Linked DNA regions of Xenopus tropicalis. The protein of the gene in region 1 purifies or fractionates together with the protein of each later gene. This does not show direct contact. Links are inferred from orthologs where the notes say so. Each region holds a gene or a part of one and is shown on either strand. Other genes may lie near its edges.

Region 1 (3,513 bases):
AAGGGTTAAGCAACGTTTCGGGCAAGCCCTGTGCCCTTTATCAAGCTCAAACAAACAATAGTAGTGCAGGTGCAATTCTCCAATTAAGTAGTCAAATACAGGAAGTGACACAATAGGTGATGCCTTGGCAACGGTTATAAACAATCCATTATATCTACCTACACTTCCTGTATGTGTAACCCGTTGTGCAAACAATTGGAACATAATATATACATTCATAAAAAAAGATATAGATAATAGTCTTTGTTTAACCCTTTTGGCACCAAAGACTGTAATTTATGTATCCACCAAATGTATCCACCAATTTGAGTTCCTGATTCCCTCTATATTTTAGGGGCGGAATCCCATCCAGGACCATAATTTTCAATTGGTTTGCTTTATGGCCCATATCCATTTGAGTGGTCTCGCAAATATAGATGAGTCCACAGGAACAAGTCAACACATAGATTACATATTTAGAGATACAAGTATGGTGCACCCATAATAGGACTTTATGACCTGTGCCTGGGTGTATAAATTCCTTGCCTTTGATCACACTATGGCTTTGCGTGCAGCCTGAACATCGATACATCCCTGGGGTTCTCAGACCCAGGTGTGTATCAGTGCGTCTCTCCAATCTTTGGGCTTTTACCCTCGAGGATGTGACCATATTACCTATCGTTTTACTTTTACGATAAGATAAGAGTGGTGGTGATTTAAAATCCATAATTTGGGGATAACCCCTTTGCAAAATGTGCCAATGGTGTGGCAAAATGGTCCCCAAATTTTTGCTGCAGGAACTAAACTGCGTGACACATGAAATATGACATCTTTTTGTCATTTCTTATTAGTTCTACCCACCTTCTTTATAGCCTGTTGCAAAACATGTTGTGGATAACCCCTTTCTCGGAATTTATTACACATCACTCCTTGTTGTTTTGCTTTCTCATGTTCATCACTTACAATCCTGTCTACTTTAGACAATTGACTAATGGGTATTGATCTTTTAGTATGTATTGGTTGATTACTCCGATAATGTAAAATTTGATTGCGATCTGTGGGTTTGGTGTATATTGATGTATCAATACCACCTCCCTGATTCCTATAAATCAGGACATCCAGAAACTGAATCTGCTGGCGATCAAAAGTTAATGTAAAATATATCGTCGGATATATCTTTTGCAAGTTACCGTGGAACCGTGATAAGGAATCCATGTCACCCCGCCATACCACAAAGAAATCGTCAATATATCTCCACCAGGCCACACAGTGGCCTGTGAAGTCCACATCGCGATAAATGTGTAGTTCTTCCATCATTGCCATAAAGGCATTGGCATATGACGGGGCGACATTTGAACCCATCGCAGTTCCATGTAACTGTAAATAGAATTGGTCTCTAAAGGTAAAGTAATTACATTGTAAAATTATCTCCAACATCTGTACAAAAAAAGAAAGATGCTGTTCAGTGTAATTAGCCCTATTGTTCAATAACCAGGTGCAGGCCTGGATGCCCTCCTTGTGCGGTACTGAGGTGTACAAACTGGTCACATCAAAAGTAACCAGGGGGGATGTACTACTGGCTACTTTTGATGTGACCAGTTTGTGCATAAATTCTCCATTAATCTGGGAAACACCAAATTACCTGTTTCCCAACATTTGTTGGATACTGGCCATAAAGCAGACCAATTGATATGTATGGTCCTGGAAGGGATTCTGCCTCTAAAATATGGAGGGAATCGGGAACTCAAATTGAAACAGAGAGAAGTTTGGTGCATACAAAAATTACAGTCTTTGGCACCAAAAGGGTTAAACAAAGACTATGATCTATATCTCTTTTTATGAATGTATATATTATGTTCAAATTGTTTGCACAAAGGGTTACACATACTGGGAGTGTAGGTAGATATAATGGATTGTTTATAACCGTTGCCAAGGTATCACCTATTGTGTCACTTGCTGTATTTGACTACTGGAGAATTGCACCTGCACTACTGTTTGTTTGTTTGAGCTTGATAAAGGGCACAGGGCTTGCTTGAAACATCGCTTAATTACTACAGACATGCCGGCTACATGTAAGATGTTTTTATTACTATGAACTGAATATACCTTTTTGCACTTTCTGAAAAAAACTTGAGTGCCGCCTTTTCTTGTTGTTTTTTATATATATATTGGATATGGGATACCTTATCCGCAAACCCCATATCCAGAAAGCTCCGAATTACGAAAAGCCTGTCTCCCATAGATGCCATTTTAATCAAATTATTCAGATTTTTAAAATTAATTTCCTTTTTCTCTGTAAAAATAAAACAGTACTTTGTACTTGATCCCAACTAAGATAAAATTAATCCTTATTGGATGTAAAATAATCCTATTGAGTTTAATTAATGTTTTATTGATTTCTTAGTAGACTAAAGGTATGGAGATCCAAATTATGGAAAGACCCCTTATACGGAATACCTTTGGTCCAGAGCATTCTGGATAACAGGTCCTATACCTGTATATATGTATATATGTAGGTCTTTGGCAAATACTGTAAATCAAAAATATATTTTTGTAATTACATGCAAAATCCAATGTTTTGGTCACTACAGAGTGACTTTTCTCAAATACCTGTATATGCACAAACCACAGATACACAGATCCTTGAAAAATATCACACTTTGTGCCCCCTGCTGCCTGATATCCCTGTTCCCTAGCTCTTTCGGCAGTCTGAAATTTTTGTACCGTCAAGGGTACTTTAAAATAATTCATCACTCCATACAACAAGATAATGAACATAGATAAACAGTGTGGCAGGTCTGTAATATGTCCTAACCTCAATCTCAGGAAGGGTCTTATTGTGCTCTGTGCTTTGTGTCCCAAGTATACTTCCAGCTGATCTCCCCTCACACTGATAACGGAAGCGCATCCCCCTCTGTTTTGGTTGCTCTGTGATTTTTAATTCTGGATATGGACTTTCTCGCTGAGAGGCCCAGGATGTGGATGGGCATTGCTCACGGGGCACACAATGTGAGACAGTTACAGTACTGAGCATATCAGAAGGAGTTTCTTCACAAGCAAACAAAGTCGAAGAAGTCGAGGGCATTACAGGCATGTCAGAATTAATAAGATCCATGACATCTTCTAATAAAAAAGAAGAAAAACAGGAAATTAGGTTAGAAAGAAACAATGCTGGTGATAAATATATCAATTTAATATTATTAAACTTTATTCTATAATATGCACAAAATAATGATTTATCTGTATCATCTAAACCAGTGCTGTCCAACTGGTAGCCCATGCCCCCCCCTTGTGTGACTCCCCATCTGTCTGGCTGCTGAGACTACTTACCTTTGTCTAAGATTGAAATGGTATCAATACTGAGATTAACTAGCCCCTGCATTGTTCACACCTGAAAGACCTCAGACTGTAGGCGCACACATTGTTTAGCTGTTCACACCTCAGGCAGACTTTAGAAGTGACGGCATTGAATATATTACAGTAACTGTTGGAGCGGTCATGATCAGTTACTTGTGATACTAATATCTACAGTTA
Region 2 (4,096 bases), about 38 Mb from region 1:
GCCGCCCCCATTTGGCGCCCCCTACCCGCCGTGCGAGCGCGCATGCGCAAACCACCTCCTCCTCCCCTGCCGCCGCGCTAATGCGCATGCGCCAAAGTTAAAACTCCCATACAGAGCAGTGGGGAGAGGTCCCCATTGCTCCGTATGGGAGCAAAATTTTGAAATTTGCGTGCGGCGGGGCAGCATGCCGCCCCTATGTTTATGCCGCCCTAGGCCCGGGCCTGGGCACATCACTAGTGCAGAGCGCACAATAGTATAGTCAAAGTATTCCATGATGTTTTTGGTTTACTACTTTTATTCCCACACAAGAATTACGGACAGATAACCTTCGGCAAATGGCAATTAAGTTATTTCACCTAAGCAAGGTACCTGAAACTATTATCGTTATAAAAATAATAACTATTAAATTCATACAATCTCATTTCATCCCAACAATAATGCACAAAGGGGCTTATGTTTTTTTTAAAGCAAATGCAAACTGCAATTAGGATTGCCACCTGGAGGTTATTATACTGGCCTGACCAGTTAAAATACTGCAATATCCCAATGTTAACTGGGTAGAGAGATGAAAATTTAGGAAGACCTGTATTTCTTTCCAGTGGGAAAGCCTTACTACAATGCACAAAAGAGTGCAAAATTCCATGTTTCACCCACAATGCAACGTTATTCCCCAGAATCCCAGTGTAATCTTGCTGCTTATGACGCAATTTTTGCAGCCTTTTGGGGAACATTGCGCGAAAGTTGCATTGTTTGTAAACCCCTCGTTTCTGGAAGTTGCTGAAATAAAACAAAATGGCATTAGCATCAATCATTAGGTGCAAGTCGGTTGTGTGTGTGGGTTAAGGTGCAAAATGCAAATGGCTCCCCGGACGTTGAGCTCTTATGTATTTAGCATAATATCAATAGTCTGTCAGACGAAGGTATATTTAACGCATATAAATGCCGAGTATGATGTGGGGAACTAATGTGTATTTTTGCCCGAATCCCCCCAGTGTGTCCCAGGAATGGTGAGTGTGCTGAGAGGAATGTACATGGAGTAGCTGCGCACGTCTGAAAAAAGGGAATTTCTGAGCCTTGTACATATTTCTGCGCTCTTCCTTTTATTGTACCACAGAACTGGCTCCGTCAGGTTCATTGTGTTCCTATACTGACTTATTCTTGGAATTTCCCAGAGTACATAATAGTTCACAAGTAGGAAACTGAGCTCGGCTCCACCCAGAAAAAACCCCGGCTGTATATGTAAAAGTAGCCTGCTGGGGGAGGGAGCTGCCAGATCGCTACCAGAAGTCGCTCTGATCGGATGGGATTAGTATAGAGGAGGCTACAGCTACAGAACTTCACTATCGCAACTGGGATTCTACAGTGTCTTCTAAGCTATTTTGCGGGGAAGCTCAACAACCGGCCGCCGCCATGTCTGTGCCTTTTCACGATTACCAAGGGAATATGATGGAGGGAGAAGCTAGGGATCTCCGGAAGGACAAACTGCTGCAGGACGATCGCATTGATAGCGGCCTGGACTCCCTGAAGGAGGAGGAATACACGGCTATCATTACTGACCTCAGCAACATGAGAATGGAGGGCCCGCCGGACACATCGAACTATGAGCCGGAGCCATGGAAGAAAGAGGTCAACGAAGATGGAGACACGTAAGTGATAGAGAATGGGTTCGTTATATGGCTGGGGATTGTGCTCAGTATCTACTGATATTGTATAGGGGCGATGAACCTTAGTATTAGTACATCTAAAACCATTACATCTGCCTTGCACAGTGTATATACTGATAAAGGGATAGTACTCTATAGTGCTGCACTAATATATATATATATATAACAGGGACACCTAGGTTTGGGGCAGTGTTTAGTGTAGGATATGTAGATATTTACTAATGCATGACTTCTTTATGGTGAATGCACAGTTAGGTGCATGGGGCAGGCTACACTGCATAACACTGCAATTTATTGTGCAGCTTTTTCATGCAACCATAAACATGCAGTATTAGTAAGTTGTGCAAATAGTTAAAAACCCTTGTGCTTTTAATGCTTTTTTTATATCATGCATTGGTATTTGCAAGCATGCAGCAACGCCGGGCAGCTGTTAGATGGCTTGGTGCATGTTTGTTCTTGGTAGGGGAATTTTTTTGTTGGTGCAGAAGAGACGCCATATCTGTCTGGGTTTTCCCTTCTTCGTGTGAGCTGGAGGGAGGGGGGGTGGGAGGACACCTTGTTCTCTGACTTGCTGCCTCAGAGGGGTGGGGGCTGGCAGGCACCCAGGGGCAGGACTCTGGCTTTGGAAAGTCCCTGGCCAGTAGCCAGGAACACAACTGCACACACACACACTCTCACACTCACAGCAGAAAGCGGAAAACAACAGACAGATCTAGAGAAGAAAAAATCCCCAGACTTACACAATTGCATAGTTGGCTGGGGGAGGGGGAAGTACACACTTGTGTCACCACTGACTAGTATTGCAGCTCACCGACATGCCGCTATGATGAAATAGGTTCATTATGAATTATTATTTCCTATTGCTTGGCAGTTTCTAAATTTATGAAGTTTTATTCACCTCGATCTTTCCCACACACTGAACCTTAACACCACTTCACTTACTGGTTCCCAAAGGGGAGGGGGGGGTACATTTTCTACTTCTGAATGATGAAATAGTAAATACAGAAATGACATTTTGTAATAAGATGCTAAGATTGGAAAGCTAGTTTGTCATTTCCCATAAACCTGCTAGTTCATCTTTTCTTTTTTTATGGTTAAATGACACAAATTTGCTTCTCTATTTTAACATGTCCTTTTTATGTTCCCTTCTAGGTTTCTCCATTTGGCAATTATCCATGAAGAGAAAACCCTGGTGAAGGAGGCAATCCAACGTTCATACAGGGACCATTTTTACCTGAACAAGCAGAATAATCTGCACCAGGTAATTTACTTTTTATTTTTTTTCTAAACCTTGTAAAAACTTTATTTCTAGATTAGCTTGTCATGTGCCACCATTGTCGGTTAGGGCAGGGCTGTCCAACTGGAGGCCCGTGGGCCGGATGTGGCCCTCCAAAGGAATTTTAACATATAAAGTATAATAGAGGGCCAGTTTGTGGAATAATTGACCTATGACATGTAAGTTGGCCAGCACTTAAAATATTAATAGTCAGTGCACTCATAGCATGTTCATGAGGGATAGAATATAGTACAAGCTTATTCTGCAAGTTCAATTTTGTGTTTAATGAGAATGAATTTACTGATTTTTCTTTTTTTTTTTAATGTCTTTTCTGCAGACAGCACTACATCTGGCAGTAATCACCGAACAACAAGACATCAGCCAGTCACTTCTCCAGGCTGGTTGTGATCCAGAAATCCAAGACTTCTGTGGCAACACCGCCTTGCACATTGCCTGCAAGCAGGGCTCGCTTCGGGGAGTTGGGGTCATTTTCCAGTATTGTGAGAAACAACTGCCAGCACTTCTGCAATCTGTGAACTATGATGGTATGTATCAAACTTAATCTATAAACCTTTAGACGTGTGTTGTTGTGCTACTTGGCAAATTAGAATTAGAACTGCCTTGCTAATATCTTTCTTTCCGATGCAGGTCACACGTGCCTCCACCTGGCATCGATCCATGGCTATCTTGCAATTGTGGAAAATCTCATTAATAAGGGGGCTGATATAAATGCCCAGGTCAGTATTCCCCCTACTTCACTTGGCTACATACTGATGTTTCTTCCTGCCATGTCTATTGGATTCAATTTTGCCTCTAGATCTAAGAGAAATTTCTGTTTCCCTCACCACAGGAGCCTTGCAATGGTCGCACTGTGCTGCATATGGCCGTGGACCTGCAGAACTACGACCTGATGAAACTGCTGCTTAAGCACGGAGCAGATGTAAACAGAGTCACGTACCAAGGCTACTCTCCGTGCCAGCTCACATGGGGCAGAAATAACATGCTGATTCAACAACAGCTGGTTGAAGTGACACACAAGAATTTGCAGTACCTTCCAGAGAGTGAAGAGGAAGACAGTTCTGACTCCGAATATGAATATAATGATGATGAGGTGAGACCTAGAGACGAGTTCATCATAGTAATGGCATGGGAATGA
Region 3 (4,201 bases), on another chromosome or scaffold:
CCAGAGGCACAAACAGCCCCCCCAGCCCAATAAATAGTGACTGTCTGTGGCACCTTACAGCCCCCCTGGCATTCCCAGTACCCAGAGGCACAAACAGCCCCCCCAGCCCAATAAATAGTGACTGTCTGTGGCACCTTACAGCCCCCCTGGCATTCCCAGTACCCAGAGGCACAAACAGCCCCCCCAGCCCAATAAATAGTGACTGTCTGTGGCACCTTACAGCCCCCCTGGCATTCCCAGTACCCAGAGGCACAAACAGCCCCCCCAGCCCAATAAATAGTGACTGTCTGTGGCACCTTACAGCCCCCCTGGCATTCCCAGTACCCAGAGGCACAAACAGCCCCCCCAGCCCAATAAATAGTGACTGTCTGTGGCACCTTACAGCCCCCCTGGCATTCCCAGTACCCAGAGGCACAAACAGCCCCCCCAGCCCAATAAATAGTGACTGTCTGTGGCACCTTACAGCCCCCCTGGCATTCCCAGTACCCAGAGGCACAAACAGCCCCCCCAGCCCAATAAATAGTGACTGTCTGTGGCACCTTACAGCCCCCCTGGCATTCCCAGTACCCAGAGGCACAAACAGCCCCCCACAATCCATAAGAAGGAGGAGGAAGGGGAATGGGGGTTTTTTTAACCCCCTCTCTCTTTCCCTCCCTTTTTAACTCTGTTAGCCCCGCTCCCCCTTTACTCTGTTACCCCCCTGCCCTCCCCTTTACTCTGTTACCCCCCCCTTTACTCTGTTACCCCTCCCCTCTACTTGTTTTTCCGCCCTCCCTTTTACTCTGTTACCCCTCCCTTTACTCCGTTACCACCCCTCCCCTTTATCTGTTACCCCTCCCCTTTACTCTGTTACCCCTCCCTTTACTCTGTTACCCCCTCCCCTCTACTGTTTCCCCTCCCCTTTACTCTGTTACCCCTCCCTTTACTCTGTTACCCCCTCCCCTTTACTCTGTTACCCCCTCCCCTTTACTGCTGTTACCCCCTCCCTTTACTCTGTTACCGCCCTCCCCTTTACTCGTTGTTACCCTCCCCTTTATCTGTTACCCCCTCCCTTTTACTCTGTTACCCCCCTCCCCTTTACTCTGTTACCCCCTCCCCTTTACTGTTTACCCTCCCTTTACCTCTGTTACCCCTCCCTTTACCTCCTGTTACCCCCTCCCCTTTACTCTGTTACCCCCTCCCCTTTATTCCCCGTTCTGCCAGACTTATTAACCCTTGGGGGGTAGTATATTTTGCCTCTTGTTTTACCCCCAGACTGGTGCCCTCTTATCCCCCCCACACCTGTATCCCCATTCCCCACTCAGTATTACCCCCCAAATCCCATTCCTTTGCTGGGGTGCCCTTTGGGGTTGTGCAGCCTGGGGGCCCCTCATTTTATCATTTTTTTCTGCTCCAGTTCCCAGAGGGCCCGTGTCCCCCCTTGGTGCCTGTTCCTCTGTACGGCCGCTGGCAGTTGCCCCTGGCACAGTGATTGGGCACCCTGGCAATGTCGGACTACTGGGATGAGAAGAAGCTCCCGGCGCAGCCAGAGGAGGGGCGCTATGACTCGGGGGTGGGGGACTCGGTGCAGTCCCTGTCGGACCCGGCTGTCGGCCACCTGCAGTCCCTCCCTGAGGAGAGAGGCGCCGAGGAACCTGCCCCATCTGGGGACAAACTTCAGGAACCTCAAGAACTTGACAGACTGGACTCACTATATGGCTCCTCCTCCCTGACCGAGCTGCTGCCCGAAACCTCTCTGCCCAAAAGTGACTCTGAGGGGCCCGACACCCCAGATTCTCAGCAGCTGGAATGTCTCACCTACGTGTCTGAGGAGGGCGATACGTGAGTTACCCTGTCCCCACCCTGAGTCCCCTGCCCCCCAAACAGACCTGGGTGTCCTGGGAGTGAGAGTCAGACTTGCAGGGTGCAGATCACTGGCAAATACCCTGTTATATACCCATAGTGATAGTGAGGGGCAAATTGCACCAGTTGTATTAATTCCCATTGTGCCTATAAGGTGGGGAGCTGTGAATAGGGGTATAAAGTGGGTGAGGATGGTGTATAAGGTGGGGAGCAATAGGGGTGCTCTTTCATTGATTTAGTGCTGAGCCCAAATAGCCCTTGGGGAACCCATGCTGCAGTCTTTCCTGGAAATAGGGGCCCCCAAAACATGAATGAGAAATGGGGATTCCCTGCCCAGGAGGAAGTGGAAACAAAGAGTCACTCAGACTTGTGTCATAGGGAATTCCACTTGCTGGGAGTTCTGCACGGCCCCCAGGGGCCCACTCTCACCTGCTGTCCCTGATACTGTGCAGCCATTGGTTCCCCTACATTAGGTACAAACCCCCCCTGCCTGAGCCTGTCCTGTACTGTGCAGCCATTGGTTCCCCTACATTAGGTACAAACCCCCCCCTGCCTGAGCCTGTCCCTGATACTGGGCAGCCATTGGTTCCCCTACATTAGTACAACCCCGCCCTGCCTGAGCCTGTCCCTGATACTGTGCAGCCATTGGTTCCCCGTACATTAGGTACAAACCCCCCCCTGCCTGAGCCTGTCCTGATACTGTGTGCAGCCATTGGTTCCCCTACATTAGGTACAAACCCCCCCCTGCCTGAGCCTGTCCCTGATACTGTGCAGCATGGTTCCCCTACATTAGGTACAAACCCCCCCTGCCTGAGCCTGTCCCTGATACTGTGCAGCCATTGGTTCCCCTACATTAGGTACAACCCCGCCCTGCCTGAGCCTGTCCTGATACTGTGCAGCCATTGGTTCCCCTACATTAGGTACAAACCCCCCCCCTGCCTGAGCCTGTCCCTGATACTGTGCAGCCATTGGTTTCCCGTACATTAGGTACAAACCCCCCCCTGCCTGAGCCTGTCCCTGATACTGTGCAAGCCATTGGTTCCCCCTACATTAGGTACAGACCCAGCCCTGCCTGAGCCTGTCCCTGATACTGTGCAGCCATTGGTTCCCTACATTAGGTACAGACCCAGCCCTGCCTGAGCCTGTCCCTGATACTGTGCAGCCCATTGGTTCCCCTACATTAGGTACAAACCCCCCCTGCCTGAGCCTGTCCCTGATACTGTGCAGCCATTGGTTCCCCTACATTAGGTACAACCCCCCCTGCCTGAGCCTGTCCCTGATACTGTGCAGCCATTGGTTCCCCTACATTAGGTACAAACCCCCCCTGCCTGAGCCTGTCCCTGATACTGTGCAGCCATTGGTTCCCTACATTAGGTACAAACCCCCCCTGCCTGAGCCTGTCCCTGATACTGTGCAGCCATTGGTTCCCCTATATTAGGTACAAACCCCCCCCCTGCCTGAGCTGTCCCTGATACTGTGCAGCCATTGTTCCCCTACATTAGGTACAACCTCCCCCCTGCCTGAGCCTGTCCCTGATACTGTGCAGCCATTGGTTCCCCCTACATTAGGTACAACCCCCCCTGCCTGAGCCTGTCCCTGATACTGTGCAACCATTGGTTCCCCTACATTAGGTACAACCCCCCCTGCCTGAGCCTGTCCCCTGATACTGTGCATCCATTGGTTCCCCTACATTAGGTACAACCCCCCCCCCCCCCGCCTGAGCCTGTCCCTGATACTGTGCAGCCATTGGTTCCCCTACATTAGGTACAAACCCCCCCTGCCTGAGCCTGTCCCTGATACTGTGCAGCCATTGGTTCCCCTACATTAGGTACAAACCCCCCTGCCTGAGCCTGTCCCTGATACTGTGCAGCCATTGGTTCCCCTACATTAGGTACAACCCCGCCCCTGGCTGATACTGAGTGCAGGGGCCCAGTATGGGGGTGCTTGGGTGCTATTGGGGAGCTGCAGTGCTGGTGAATGTGGAAGTGGGAATCCAGACGGCTGTTTCCTGAGTGAGCGGCCAGACTGGTCTCACTGGCAGGGCTGGGGGGGGGGGGGTTGGTTATGATGTCAGAGCGGTTGAGGTTTCGGAAGTTTGTGCGTCAGATCAGTCTCTCGTGACAGGTGGTGGGGGACAGGGAGTTAACCCTTTCTTTTCAGTAGAGTAGCAGAACCAGAGGTGGTATGATGAGCCAGTCGGGTGGCTTGGGGTATGACAGGGGCAGTTTCTGGGGCACTAAGCAGCACTGCTGGATGCATGAATAGACCATACTGCTGTACTGGGAGCACTGCCTTCCCCTTTAATGTGAGCTCCAGCCAAGAGTCAGCTCATGTTGGGGTACTGGGGGGGGTGGCACAC

Evidence for each region.
Region 2: the proteins of relb (region 1) and nfkbia purify together in Homo sapiens (affinity purification with mass spectrometry; 4 studies listed by BioGRID and IntAct, counting the BioPlex papers as one, with this or other methods). This does not show direct contact. The link is inferred for Xenopus tropicalis from reciprocal best matches to the Homo sapiens genes RELB and NFKBIA.
Region 3: the proteins of relb (region 1) and nfkbie purify together in Homo sapiens (affinity purification with mass spectrometry; 3 studies listed by BioGRID and IntAct, counting the BioPlex papers as one, with this or other methods). This does not show direct contact. The link is inferred for Xenopus tropicalis from reciprocal best matches to the Homo sapiens genes RELB and NFKBIE.

What each region holds. Positions count from the first base shown.
Region 1 is NC_030684.2:71,135,739-71,139,251, reverse strand, and holds part of relb (transcription factor RelB), read right to left. Parts: intron 3,103-3,513; coding exon 2,795-3,102; intron 1-2,794.
Region 2 is NC_030684.2:109,511,889-109,515,984, reverse strand, and holds the start of nfkbia (NF-kappa-B inhibitor alpha), read left to right. Parts: upstream 1-1,290; 5' UTR 1,291-1,410; coding exon 1,411-1,646; intron 1,647-2,816; coding exon 2,817-2,925; intron 2,926-3,277; coding exon 3,278-3,485; intron 3,486-3,588; coding exon 3,589-3,677; intron 3,678-3,790; coding exon 3,791-4,051; intron 4,052-4,096. UniProt on the Homo sapiens protein: Inhibits the activity of dimeric NF-kappa-B/REL complexes by trapping REL (RELA/p65 and NFKB1/p50) dimers in the cytoplasm by masking their nuclear localization signals.
Region 3 is NC_030681.2:2,157,250-2,161,450, forward strand, and holds the start of nfkbie (NF-kappa-B inhibitor epsilon), read left to right. Parts: upstream 1-1,395; 5' UTR 1,396-1,486; coding exon 1,487-1,821; intron 1,822-4,201. UniProt on the Homo sapiens protein: Sequesters NF-kappa-B transcription factor complexes in the cytoplasm, thereby inhibiting their activity. Sequestered complexes include NFKB1-RELA (p50-p65) and NFKB1-REL (p50-c-Rel) complexes.